Linked DNA regions of Ovis aries. The protein of the gene in region 1 interacts with the protein of each later gene in a biochemical or structural test. Links are inferred from orthologs where the notes say so. Each region holds a gene or a part of one and is shown in the gene's direction. Other genes may lie near its edges.

Region 1 (3,643 bases):
GTTAATGGTAGGATGCTTTATTCTAGTTCTAATTTGAACATAGAATTGCCTAGAGAATTTTTTTTACCATCTTATGTGCAAAGTAAAGATGGAGAAAAAGCTGGCAGTGACATAGGTCTCATACAGAGACAAGCCCTGTTCATGAGGCTTCCTTTGGTAGCCGTCAGGACAGGCCCAGCCCAGACAGAGAACGGCCTCCTGGCCCTTCCTTCCTGGCCCCTCGTCACCAATTGCAAAGGGAAGTGTGAGGGTGTTTGTGTCGAGCACTTCAGCAGCTGAGTCTCGCCAGGCCTGGACGTAGACGTGGGTCCAGCATGAGTCACTCTCCTGTTTACATTCTTAAAACCTAGGAGGCCCCTGATCTCAAGAGTTTGAAATTCTCCGCTTTCTTACTTTTATATGGTGCTATGTAATTTTTTTTTTTTTTAACTTCATATCGGTTTAAAGCTGTTTGGTTAAAAAGAACTGAAATACGTTTAGAGGAAATTATTGGTCTTAAAAACAGGTCATTCCCCCTCCTTCCCACGCCAATCAAATATGCTCTGAGCCAGACTCTTTTTATCAAGTTCCTTGGGCATACAAACTGATTCATGCTTGCCTGCCCCGGCATCTAGCTGGGTGGGCATTCATCATTCAGCAGCTGCTTACTGAGCAGCCGTGCCCTGGCTGCCACATGGAATTCAAACATTAGCAAGATAGGTCTCTGCCTGGAGAGCATTCATGTGAGGGAAGGAAGAGGTGAGTGTGATACACGGAGCAAAACAGCTCCAGGAAGAGAAAGGCTGTTTTCAGGTGGCAAGCTTAAAAAAACTTCATAGAAGAAGTGGCACTTGCACTAGACCCAGAAAGATGGATAGATCTCAGCGTGTGAATTCCAAAGGAAAGAACAGTAGATGCCCGTGGGGAATGGAGCCAGGGTGAGAAGGTGCAGTTTGTAGAGTGTGGGCATCATCAGAGAAAGCAGAGAAAGGGGAAAATGGAAAAGTCAGTGGGTCCCAGGTTGTGGAGCATCTTGATCAGACCTCAGGACCAAGAGTTTAGCTTTATTCTTAATGCACTACAAAACTCTCCAGTGCTTTCCATAGAGCAGTGATATAATCAGAGGTGTTCTTTATTAATACTAGGGGTGTTTAGAGTGGGTTGTAGCTGTAAAGCAAGGATAGGCTATTAGCTGCATTGTCTCAGGATACGGGAAGTCCCTTCTCTGTCCCTGGAAGTAGCACGAGGATAGCTTTGAGAGGCTCTGGGGGTTAGAGTTAGCAAATACACCAGCCAGGCAAGACAGAAGAGAGCTCAGGCGTGACACAGTTAAGCAAGGCAGGCAGTGGGCAGAGAACTAGTTTGTGGGGAAGTGATAAGCTCACTTTTGGGGCGGTTTGAGCTCGAGGTGTTGAGATGATGCATGTGCCACTGTGATTAATGAGACCATCTCTTTCTCAGAGTCAACCCTTGGAGGTGCTGCTGCTTCAAATTATGCAAATTCCACTTGGGGCCCGGGAGCCTCCTCCAACAGCGGCGCCTCCCCCAACCCCATTCACATCTGGGACAAGGTGATTGTAGACGGGTCTGACATGGAAGAGTGGCCTTGCATTGCCAGCAAAGACACTGAGTCTTCTTCCGAAAACACCACCGATAACAACAGTGCCTCGAACCCTGGCTCTGAGAAGAGCACTCTGCCAGGAAGCACCACTAGTAACAAAGGAAAAGGGAGCCAGTGCCAGTCTGCAAGTTCCGGGAACGAATGTAATCTTGGGGTCTGGAAATCTGACCCTAAGGCTAAATCTGTTCAATCTTCCAATCCTACTACGGAGAGCAACAATGGACTAGGAAACTGGAGGAATGTGAGTGGTCAGGAGAGAATTGGACCTGGCTCTGGCTTCAGCAACTTTAACCCAAATAGCAACCCATCTGCCTGGCCAGCACTGGTCCAAGAAGGAAGTTCTAGGAAAGGGGCATTGGAAACGGAGACTAGTAATTCCAGTGCACAGGTTAGCGCAGTAGGTCAGGCATCCAGGGAACAGCAGTCAAAGATGGAAAATGCGGGTGTTAATTTTGTTGTCTCTGGCAGAGAGCAGGCTCAAATTCATAACACTGATGGACCAAAAAATGGAAACACTAACTCCTTGAACTCAAGTTCACCAAACCCCATGGAGAATAAGGGAATGCCCTTTGGGATGGGCTTGGGGAACGCCTCCAGGAGCACTGATGCCCCTTCACAAAGCACTGGAGATCGAAAGACTGGGAGTGTTGGATCTTGGGGTGCAGCTAGGGGGCCTTCTGGAACTGACACAGCCTCTGGACAAAGCAATTCTGGAAACAATGGGAACAATGGAAAGGAGAGAGAGGACTCCTGGAAGGGAGCTCCTGTTCAGAAATCAACCGGGTCAAAAAGTGACTCTTGGGACAACAATAACAGGTCTACGGGTGGGTCCTGGAACTTTGGCCCTCAGGACTCTAATGACAACAAATGGGGTGAAGGGAACAAAATGACATCCGGGGTCTCTCAGGGAGAATGGAAACAGCCGACTGGGTCTGACGAGTTGAAAATTGGAGAATGGAGTGGTCCAAACCAACCAAATTCTAGCACTGGAGCATGGGACAATCAGAAGGGCCACCCCCTCCCTGAAAACCAAGGCAATGCCCAGGCTCCCTGTTGGGGAAGATCTTCCAGCTCCACGGGAAGTGAAGTTGGAGGTCAAAGCACTGGAAGCAACCACAAAGCAGGAAGTAGTGACAGTCACAATTCTGGCCGTCGGTCGTACCGGCCCACACATCCTGATTGTCAGGCTGTCTTGCAGACTCTTTTGAGCCGAACTGATTTGGACCCCAGGGTGCTCTCAAACACTGGCTGGGGCCAAACTCAAATTAAGCAAGACACGGTGTGGGACATTGAAGAGGTGCCAAGGCCCGAGGGGAAGTCTGACAAAGGGACTGAGGGGTGGGAGAGCGCTGCCACACAGACCAAGAGCTCAGGGGGCTGGGGAGACGCGCCCAGCCAAAGCAATCAGATGAAGTCTGGATGGGGAGAGCTCTCAGCCTCTGCAGAGTGGAAAGACCCCAAGAACACAGGAGGCTGGAACGACTATAAGAACAACAACTCTTCCAACTGGGGAGGGGGACGACCGGACGAGAAGACATCTTCCTCTTGGAACGAGAACTCCAGCAAGGATCAGGGGTGGGGAGGTGGACGCCAGCCCAACCAAGGATGGACTTCTGGAAAGAATGGTTGGGGAGAGGAGGTTGATCAGGCGAAAACCAGCAATTGGGAAAATGCTGCAAGTAAACCTGTGTCCGGGTGGGGCGAAGGTGGGCAGAGTGAAATCGGGACTTGGGGTAGCGGTGGGAACGCAAGCCTGGCTTCCAAAGGCGGGTGGGAAGATTGCAAAAGGTCTCCGGCGTGGACGGAGACAGGCAGACAGCCCGGTTCCTGGAACAAACAGCACCAACAGCAGCAGCCACCGCAGCAGCTACCACCACCACAACCCGAGGCCTCTGGCTCCTGGGGAGGCCCAGCCCCACCACCTCCAGGCAACGGACGACCTTCCAATTCCAACTGGAGCAGCGGGCCGCAGCCAGTAACCCCCAAGGATGAGGAACCCAGCGGTTGGGAAGAGCCATCCCCACAGTCGATCAGTCGGAAGAT
Region 2 (3,643 bases), on another chromosome or scaffold:
GTCAGTTCATGGCTCTCATTGCCCTGACAGTGCTCGGCGTCTGCGGGCAAGTGGGCAGCAGCTGTTTGTGCCCGACTGTAAAAGAACAGCCCTGTCGCTGCCTGGGAGGGTCACAGCTGGTGGGGGCGGCGAGGCCACGATATGGCGTCTCCTGTTACATTCTGACTTTTCAGGGACCTGTGTGCTGAGCACGTGGGCAGCCTCTGTACATTGTCTTGTTGAAACAACCTCATCTCGGGCTTCAGCAGGGACTCAGCTCAATGAAAACGGCCTGGGGTCTGGATCAGTTAACACTGCCCTTTCTCGGGGCCTCTGGTGGGTCTGGATCGTCGGCACTCTGGGTTCTTCATGTAACGACCCTGCTCCTCCAGGTCCTTCACGGAGCAGCTCAGAAAGATCTCAAGAGATGCGGGCATGCCCATCCAGGGCCAGCCATGCTTCTGTAAATATGCCCAGGGGGCGGACAGCGTGGAGCCCATGTTCCGGCACTTGAAGAACACGTACGCTGGCCTGCAGCTGGTGGTGGTCATCCTGCCGGGGAAGACCCCCGTTTACGGTAGGTCTTGGTGCTGCCCCTGCCCTGGCCCTACGGGTGTGCGGTGCGGCCTCTGCCACACCCAGGAGGGGCCTGTGTCTGAGTGAGACCAGGTGGTGTATGATTGTGGCATGCACGTGCCCAGGGCCACCTTGGCAGTGTCATCTGAGGCCCCGGTTCCCTGGGATGGGTGTCCCGAGGGGGTGCGGGATGCGGCAGGCGTGCAGTTACCTTGTCCGCTGCTGACACAGACTTCGGCTGGATGAAGAATGGTCACACGATATGCACGCAGTAATCCCCTCGGAGGGGCGGGGGCAGTCCTCAGCTCCTATTTGGGACTTGGCCCTCCTCTTGTGAACCGTGCCATCTTAGAATCCTCTGGGATTTGATCAGAGTCCTTTCTGCCAGAAGGCCGGTTGCACTTCTACCTAGCTCAGAGTTTCCAAGCCCTGGGATGGAGTCCCAGGCCCTGGTGGGGGAAGCTCCCGGGTGTAGGCAAGCGTTGGGGAGGTGGGTGCATGTGGGTCTGCTGGAAGCCCGGTGGGAACCGGAGGCCCCGTGCAGGGAGGTGTGTGGGCACCATGGGGAAGAGGGAAGAGAGGCGCGATTGGCTCGCTGACTGGCTTCCCCGTCTCCCATGGGCTTTGCATCCAGGAGCAGGAGGAAGCCCGGGTGACTTCTCCCAGGGTCTCCCGTCTCTGCTGGCCTGTCCAGAGAGCAGTTGCCCACTCGCTTCACAAGAGAACCCAGAATGGAGGGGGGTGTAGGCCTGGAGAGCACTTTGGCATCGGGTTTGTATTGGCCAGGGACTAAGGATTCAGGGGTTTATATTTTTGACTACTCAAGCGTTTGCTTGCTGACCCGAGTGCCTGGTTTCCAACCTGGCCCTGTGCACACTGCCCTGTCGGCCTGGAGAAGTTGCAGAAACGCTCCTGACTGAGAGCGGGCCTCCCTGAGCCGGTGGGGGACGCCCCGCAACTGGCACGGAGCTGGGTCCAGGCTTGGCCGTGTGTGTGTCAGGCGCACGGGGTGGGCAGAGGAGCGCCGGGAAGCCGTGCTGAGCACCCTGTTCTCTCGGCAGCCGAGGTCAAGCGTGTGGGAGACACGGTGCTGGGCATGGCCACGCAGTGCGTGCAGATGAAGAACGTGCAGAGGACCACGCCGCAGACCCTGTCCAACCTCTGTCTGAAAATCAACGTCAAACTGGGCGGCGTGAACAACATCCTGCTGCCGCAGGGGAGGTGAGGCTGGCCCTCTGCCATGCATGGGGCAGCGGTGGTGACACCCTGGGCAGGGCGATGCTGGGGTGGCTCTGCTCAGCTATGCTGAGTGCTGTCCCAGGCTTGGCAGGCGCAAGAAGTGAGTAGGACGAGGGTCTTGGCTGCTCCTGGTCTCCGTGTCCAAGGCCCCTGAGGACTGGTGCCGGCCCAAGGAGAAGGGCTCTCTGACCCCATCCGGAGGTGGGTCCCGCCTGTGAGATGTGGCAGCTGTGTGGCCAGTGCCGTGTAGACAGGAGGACCGCACCAGCACCCCAGGTGCCCTACGGTCAGTGCTAGGACAGGGGGCTTCCCGAGCAGGAGGCGGTGCTGTCGGCCCCAGGCCAGGGCCAGGCTCTGGGGGCTGAGCAGCAGTGATACAGCGGAAGGGAGCCCAGAAGGGTGAGGGCCTCATGGAGGAGGTGGCATGGTGCAGACTGGGCACTGGGGGCAGGGCTGTGTGGACACCAGGAGCAGCCTGCTCCAGAGGGTGCAGGCCGCGCAAGGGCCTTGGGGCAGCCTGCCTGCTGGGAGCGTGGCGGTCATTCGGCTCAGAGACCGAGGGGCGAGCCTGGGGGCCTGGCACTCGCTCCAGGGGAACACAGCCACTGGGGAGGTTCACAGGAGCGGCCCCGCTGACCTTGTTCTGAAAGGCGACCCCAGCTCTGGACAGACAGGAGGGCCAGGCCTGCCGGCGTCATCCCAGGAGAGCCACTGGTGGGAGCTAGGCCGGGGGCGCCCAGAGCCGTGACGTTTCGGCGATGGCGCTGCCTGGCTCACTGAGAGGATGCGTTTGGTCTGTGAGTGGAAGAGGAGAGTCTAGATTGCCCCACCCTGGGCTCTGGGAGCGATGAGGTGACGCCAGCTGAAGCAGGGGTGCAGGGGCGGGCTGGGGGGAGCCTGTGCTGGAGAGGCTTGTTCAGGGCTCCTCACGTGTGGGTGGTAGTTAGAGCTTGTGGGCTGGAGAGCACCCCGGGGTGCAGTGTAGACAGGAAGGACAGCCAAGCCTGGGCCCTGGGGGGTGCAGGGTTGGAAGGTCGTGGAGGCGAGGCGACAGCTCTGGAGCCCAGGAGGAGGTGGCGGGGAGCCCGTGCATGGCCGCCACACGGCACCGACCAGCCAGATGTGGCGAGGTGTGAGGCCCTCGGCCACAGGGCTGGGGGACGTGAGCAGGGTGCAGGTGACCCTGCAGAGAGCAGTCCTGTTGCCATGGCAGCGTGAGGCCCGGTCTGGAGGCAGGAGACGGGCTCAGCTAATCCCAGAGCTCTGCTGCCAGGCGAGCCTGGGAGCCGCGGGGCGGAGTGGACTGTCCAGTGGCTGCTGTGGTTGTGCCGGTTCAAAGTGTGAGTCAGAACTGCGTGTGTGGGTGCACCCAGGACCCATCAGAGGAAGGGGAGGGCAAGAGGAAAAGCTGTGGAGCCTGGGGGGCTCGGTGCAGGGCACCTGGGCAGCACGTGAGTCTGGGAGGAGAGAAGGATGAGGCATCAAGAAGGCTCCCAGTCGCACAGCCAGTGAGGCTGGGGCCCACCAGCTGTTGGAGAACTGGGCCCCCAACACTGCCTCTTTGGGGAGGTGACTGCTGGAGTGTAGCCAGCATTTAGAAGACCCTGGGAGAACAGCCTAGCTCTGTGTGTCCCCACTGGGACACATTCACCCCCCGAGAATATGTGGCTGTGTCTGGAGACACTGGGGTGCTGGGTAGAGAGCGATGTGGCTGCCAGGCGCCCTGCAGTGTGGCCGCAGGTCCAGGGTTGGCTGCAGACCTTGGACTCTGTGGACGCAACTATCTCGGAAACGCTCGGTCACCTCCCTCGTGCAGTGTGCGCCGCCTGCAGCCTCTCCCGCTCCGGGT
Region 3 (4,395 bases), on another chromosome or scaffold:
TCTTTCTAGTGGGTAGCGACTGGGTATGGCTTCTCTTGAGTTCCTAGCATCTGGTGTAAAGTAGGCATCAAAAATACAGATGGATTAATATATATGAATGAATATATGGAAAAGTGATGTTTGAGCTGGGTCTCTCAGCACCTATCAGTTGATGCAGAGTGAATAGGAGAAATGTTCCTAGAAACTGAGACTAACAAGGAGGTGACTGTGATACTTTTGTCAAGATATGATAAGGGCCTGCATCAGCACAGGGAGCCTTCACAAGCATGTCAGGAGACCATATGAGCAGGTAAACAGGTCAGGACTTTGTGAACTGCTGTATAGGGTTAGAAGCAAGGGAGAGAGAGAAGCGGTCATTTCTGGGATGAAGGTGCCCTTTGTAGAGACAGGAGGTATAGGGCAAGCACTTTTGTGGGAGCAAAGATAAGAGTTTGGTTTTGAACTCTTAAAATTTGAAGTGCTGGTAGATCCAGGTGGAGCTGTCCAGCAGACACTTGGAAATATGAGTCTGAGACATGGTTGGAAATAGAGATTTGGAAGGATAGTTAAGCCATAAGAATGGATGAGACCTTGAAGCAAAAAAGTGGAGATTAGAATGAGAAGACAGCTAGGTTTGAAAACAAGGTGAACACTTTTTTTAATGGATCAAAAACAAGAGGGGGGGCTCTTGAAGAAAACCGAAAAGGACTTAGGCAATAGGAGACCTCAGAAAATGCTGAAGCCAAATAAAAGACTCAAAAAGGAAGGAGAGGCACAGTGTCAGATGCTGCAGCAAAATAAGAATTGAAAATTATCCTTTGAATTTTGACACAAAAAGTGTTTTAAGTGAGGTGGTGAGGTCAGAAGTGGATTGACTGAATTCAAGCGTGGGCTGTAAGAAAGTGGAGAGGTGCTTCCCAGCCCGTAGGTAGAGCTCAGTAGATGCACTTAAGTTGAGACGGTGACATCTTCCAGGGTAGGCAGGGTCTCTTTCATATCTCTGGTCTCAGCGCCCAGTACTCGGCCTGGAAGAGAGGGTGGCGTCAGTGAGTTCAGTGACTAGGGACGGAGAAAGGCTTCGCGGAGGCAGTCGCTTTGCAGCCGAGGCTTGAAGGATGAGGGTGATTGGGAGGAGAGGTGGGAGGCAGGGCCCCTGGGTGATGGGGCTCTCGGAGTGTGTGAGGGTGGCCTGGGAATGAGGTGGCAATATGCGCGTGGCCCTGTGCGAATGGGGGGAGGTTGTGTGTAGGCTTGGAGGAACGTGTTTGGGGAAAAGACAAGGCCGGAGGCTGCTGCGGGGTGGGGGTTGGGGGTGTGTTGTCCTCCCGCCCCGCCCCACTTACGCCACTGCGCGGTTCCGCGGCGCCTTTACCGGAGCCCTCCCGCCGGGCTGCATGGCGATGGGTGACCGCCAGGGGCCGCTGCCTCCGGTCCCCGGTGCCCCCGCCCCTCTCCATTGGCCTTTGTTGCCGTCGGAGCGCCCCGTTTGACTCGTTCCCGTCCGCCCCCTGGGCCTGGCGGTCGCGCCTGCGCACTGGCAGCTGGCCGGGCGCTCGCAGGGGGAGCTGCTGCAGGCTCCGCGGCGGCGGCGGCAACGGAGGCTGCGGGGGCGGCGGCGCGAGCGGCCGGGCTTGGGGGGGCAGCCGAGCCCGGCCCGGGAGCCCAGGCAGCAAACGTGCGGGGTACCTAGGCCCCTCACGCTGGACTCCACAGTCTCCGGGCCGCCTGATCTCCGCACGGGTATATGGGATGGAAGCGGGACCCTCGGGAGCAGGTAAGGGCCCCCAGGAGCGGGGACGGTGCATGCTCCAAGGACTAGGGGACTCTCGCGTGAAGAGCAGGGTTTCGGAGTGAGGAAGGGTTTCCTGAGTGGGGAACGGGGCTCTTCTGAGATGGGGGGCCCAGTTTGAAGGGGGTTGTGTGCAGTTCCGGGGGAAACCTTGCGAAGGGAAGCTCTGAGACGGGGGCCATTTATCAAAGGAGCCTGTATGCACTCGTGGAGGTAGGAAGTGCTTTGGAAGAAGGGCCTGAACGCACAGGAGGACTCCTGGAGGTACCAGGAGGCCTAGGGAGAGGCCCGGCAGGTGGCAGGGGGCGGGCTCCAGGTGTCCAGGAGAGGGAGGTCGACACAAATGGGCCCAGAGCTGCCGCATGCCCTGGGCGGGGGCTCAGCCGGTATGGGTTGGGCTGGGTTGATGTCTTTTGGGAGAAGGCGCCAGAGCTGGGCTGTGAGCTCCGCCCCAGCCGGGCCTGACGCGGGGGCGAGGGTCAGGGGGCAGTGGGTGGGGATCCAGCCCTGGGATTCCCCCCCTTAAGTCTGGGAGCTGGAGTGGAGGCGCCGGAGCATGCGCGTAGGTGGCAGCTGGAAGGGGCTGCCCGATGTGGTGGGGGCGTGGCCGCCCGAACCCCCCTACCCTTAGCCCCGCCAGGTTGACTTGGTAAAAGGGGAGCGCTGATGGCTTGTAGTCTCTCTTAGGTTATGCTGGCAGGACACAAATGGAAATGGGTCCCTTCCCCATCTTGGGGGTCTTAGGCTTGACTCTGAAACCTTCAGTCTCAATTTGCCAAGACTAGGTTGAGGGAGATGGACAAGTTTCTTATTCCGCCACTAGGATGAGGAAAGACGGATGGGAGCAATGTTTTAGGTTAGGGACAGGTCCTCCTTGAAGACAGGCCTTAGAGAATGTATTGGTTGCTGAGGGACCAAGGCCAGGACCTGGTTTCCGTAGAAGGGATTGTTTGCCTGGTTTGCATGTTTCTGGTTCAATGGTGAGCAGAGTTGGGATCTTTTAATCCAAGGATAATGACCTCTCTATTGAATGTTTCCTGAGTTGACAGCCTAATCTTTCTATGCCTTAATGTTTTTATGGTTGCTTTCCCCTACTGGGTATCTTTTCTTTTTGCTCTCTCTACTCCCCCAGAAATTGTCAGAGCCATGTTATTAGACCCAGCGTTGTCAGGCGAGCCTTTTGTCATATATAAGTTGTATGGGATAGGGGGAAGTTTATAGCCTTCACCATAGTGTGTCCCAGGTGATAGCCTTAACTTCTTATTCACCATCAGGAGAAAAGGAGATTAGAGGGGAAACTGAGGCAAGACTGTCCCGAGAAGGCCAGAGTTCCTGGATGGGGTGAGGGTGGTGGCACCTCCTGTGTCCTAGGCGTCTTATCTTTTTGGTGGGAGGAGCAGTCTGGAATCTTTTAGATCTGTCTCACTACTTCCGTTTGATCTGGAGGGGAGAATAGAATTTCTATTTGGGACATGAATTTTATTTCATTTGGGACATGGATTTCATTTCTGGTTGAAGCAAGCATCTTTGTCTTTTATACCAGATCTTATACTCTTAAGGAAATAACTCCTGCCACTTCATTCAAGTCATTCATTCAGTGATCTTTAAGTACTTAGCGACTACTTTCACCAAGATGGAAACAACCTTGTAAAGGCTGTATAAGCCTTAAGGTGGAATGCAGGGGTCAACTGACTTCAGAAAACTATTAATGCTTCCTTTTTCCCTTAGGCTCCTCTCTCCCTTCCATGAACTCTCTTGGTTTTCTGGGCTGGAGACTACTTGCAGCAACCCCTGGGACTAGAGTAGTAGGACACGGAAGTCCAGACGGATTGGTGGGAGCTGGCACCCATACCAGACTGCTTATGGTTTTATTCTGATGAATTCCGTGTGGTCTCGAGAGTGATGAAAAAATTGACTTTTTGTTTTTGGTTGTTGTTACAATAAATAAGCTTCTAGGGAAGGAACTAGAGCCTGGTATCTGGAGTTGGCTGTAGCCTAATGGGGCAGCCTTTACCTCATCAGCGGGTGTGATTGAAATTCATTCTGGAAGCTGTGAGTAGAGGGATCCCATAACTGCCTCCTTCCTAGGCTAGGACTGTTTTCTTGGAGGTTGGAGGACACAGTACACAAAGCAGTGTGTTGTCTCTGGCTTCACTGGGCTCAAGGCCAGATGTGCCATCTGTGCTTAGGTGTGTTTCAAGCACATGTACTGGACTGGGAGCTCCTAGAGGGTGGAGTTGGTGTCTGATTTATCTGTGGAACCAACTAATGGCTAGGCCTTGACACAAGTACATCTTTGTTTTTTCAATTGAGTCACATTCCATTGTGAGCATAAATGGTTAAGTACATTGTATGGATATCTAATAATTTGTGTGTACTTCGTGTGTGGATAAATTCTTTTTGGAGAGATTGGGCGGCTCTTCTTTGCTTACTGGACAGCTAACCTAGTCTTGAGTTTGTGTTTTGAATGGGCAGTCTAGCCTATTGGTAGGTATGTGGGCCTCAGAACTGCAGGGAAGGGGTCCCTGAGCCAGGCCTTTAGGCTGTTACTTTTCCTTCCCAGGGCTGGCTGGGGATGGGGGAGGGGGAGTGTCCTTTTCAGAGCCCCTCCCTCCTTGCTTTTGTCT

What was found.
Region 2: the proteins of TNRC6B (region 1) and AGO2 form a complex in vitro, tested with the Homo sapiens proteins (3 studies listed by BioGRID and IntAct, with this or other methods). The link is inferred for Ovis aries from reciprocal best matches to the Homo sapiens genes TNRC6B and AGO2.
Region 3: the proteins of TNRC6B (region 1) and protein argonaute-1 form a complex in vitro, tested with the Homo sapiens proteins (2 studies listed by BioGRID and IntAct). The link is inferred for Ovis aries from reciprocal best matches to the Homo sapiens genes TNRC6B and AGO1.

The regions. Positions count from the first base shown.
Region 1 is NC_056056.1:217,420,890-217,424,532, forward strand, and holds part of TNRC6B (trinucleotide repeat-containing gene 6B protein), read left to right. Parts: intron 1-1,440; coding exon 1,441-3,643.
Region 2 is NC_056062.1:16,051,031-16,054,673, forward strand, and holds part of AGO2 (protein argonaute-2), read left to right. Parts: intron 1-371; coding exon 372-556; intron 557-1,616; coding exon 1,617-1,776; intron 1,777-3,643.
Region 3 is NC_056054.1:10,821,612-10,826,006, forward strand, and holds the start of protein argonaute-1, read left to right. Parts: upstream 1-1,518; 5' UTR 1,519-1,728; coding exon 1,729-1,753; intron 1,754-4,395.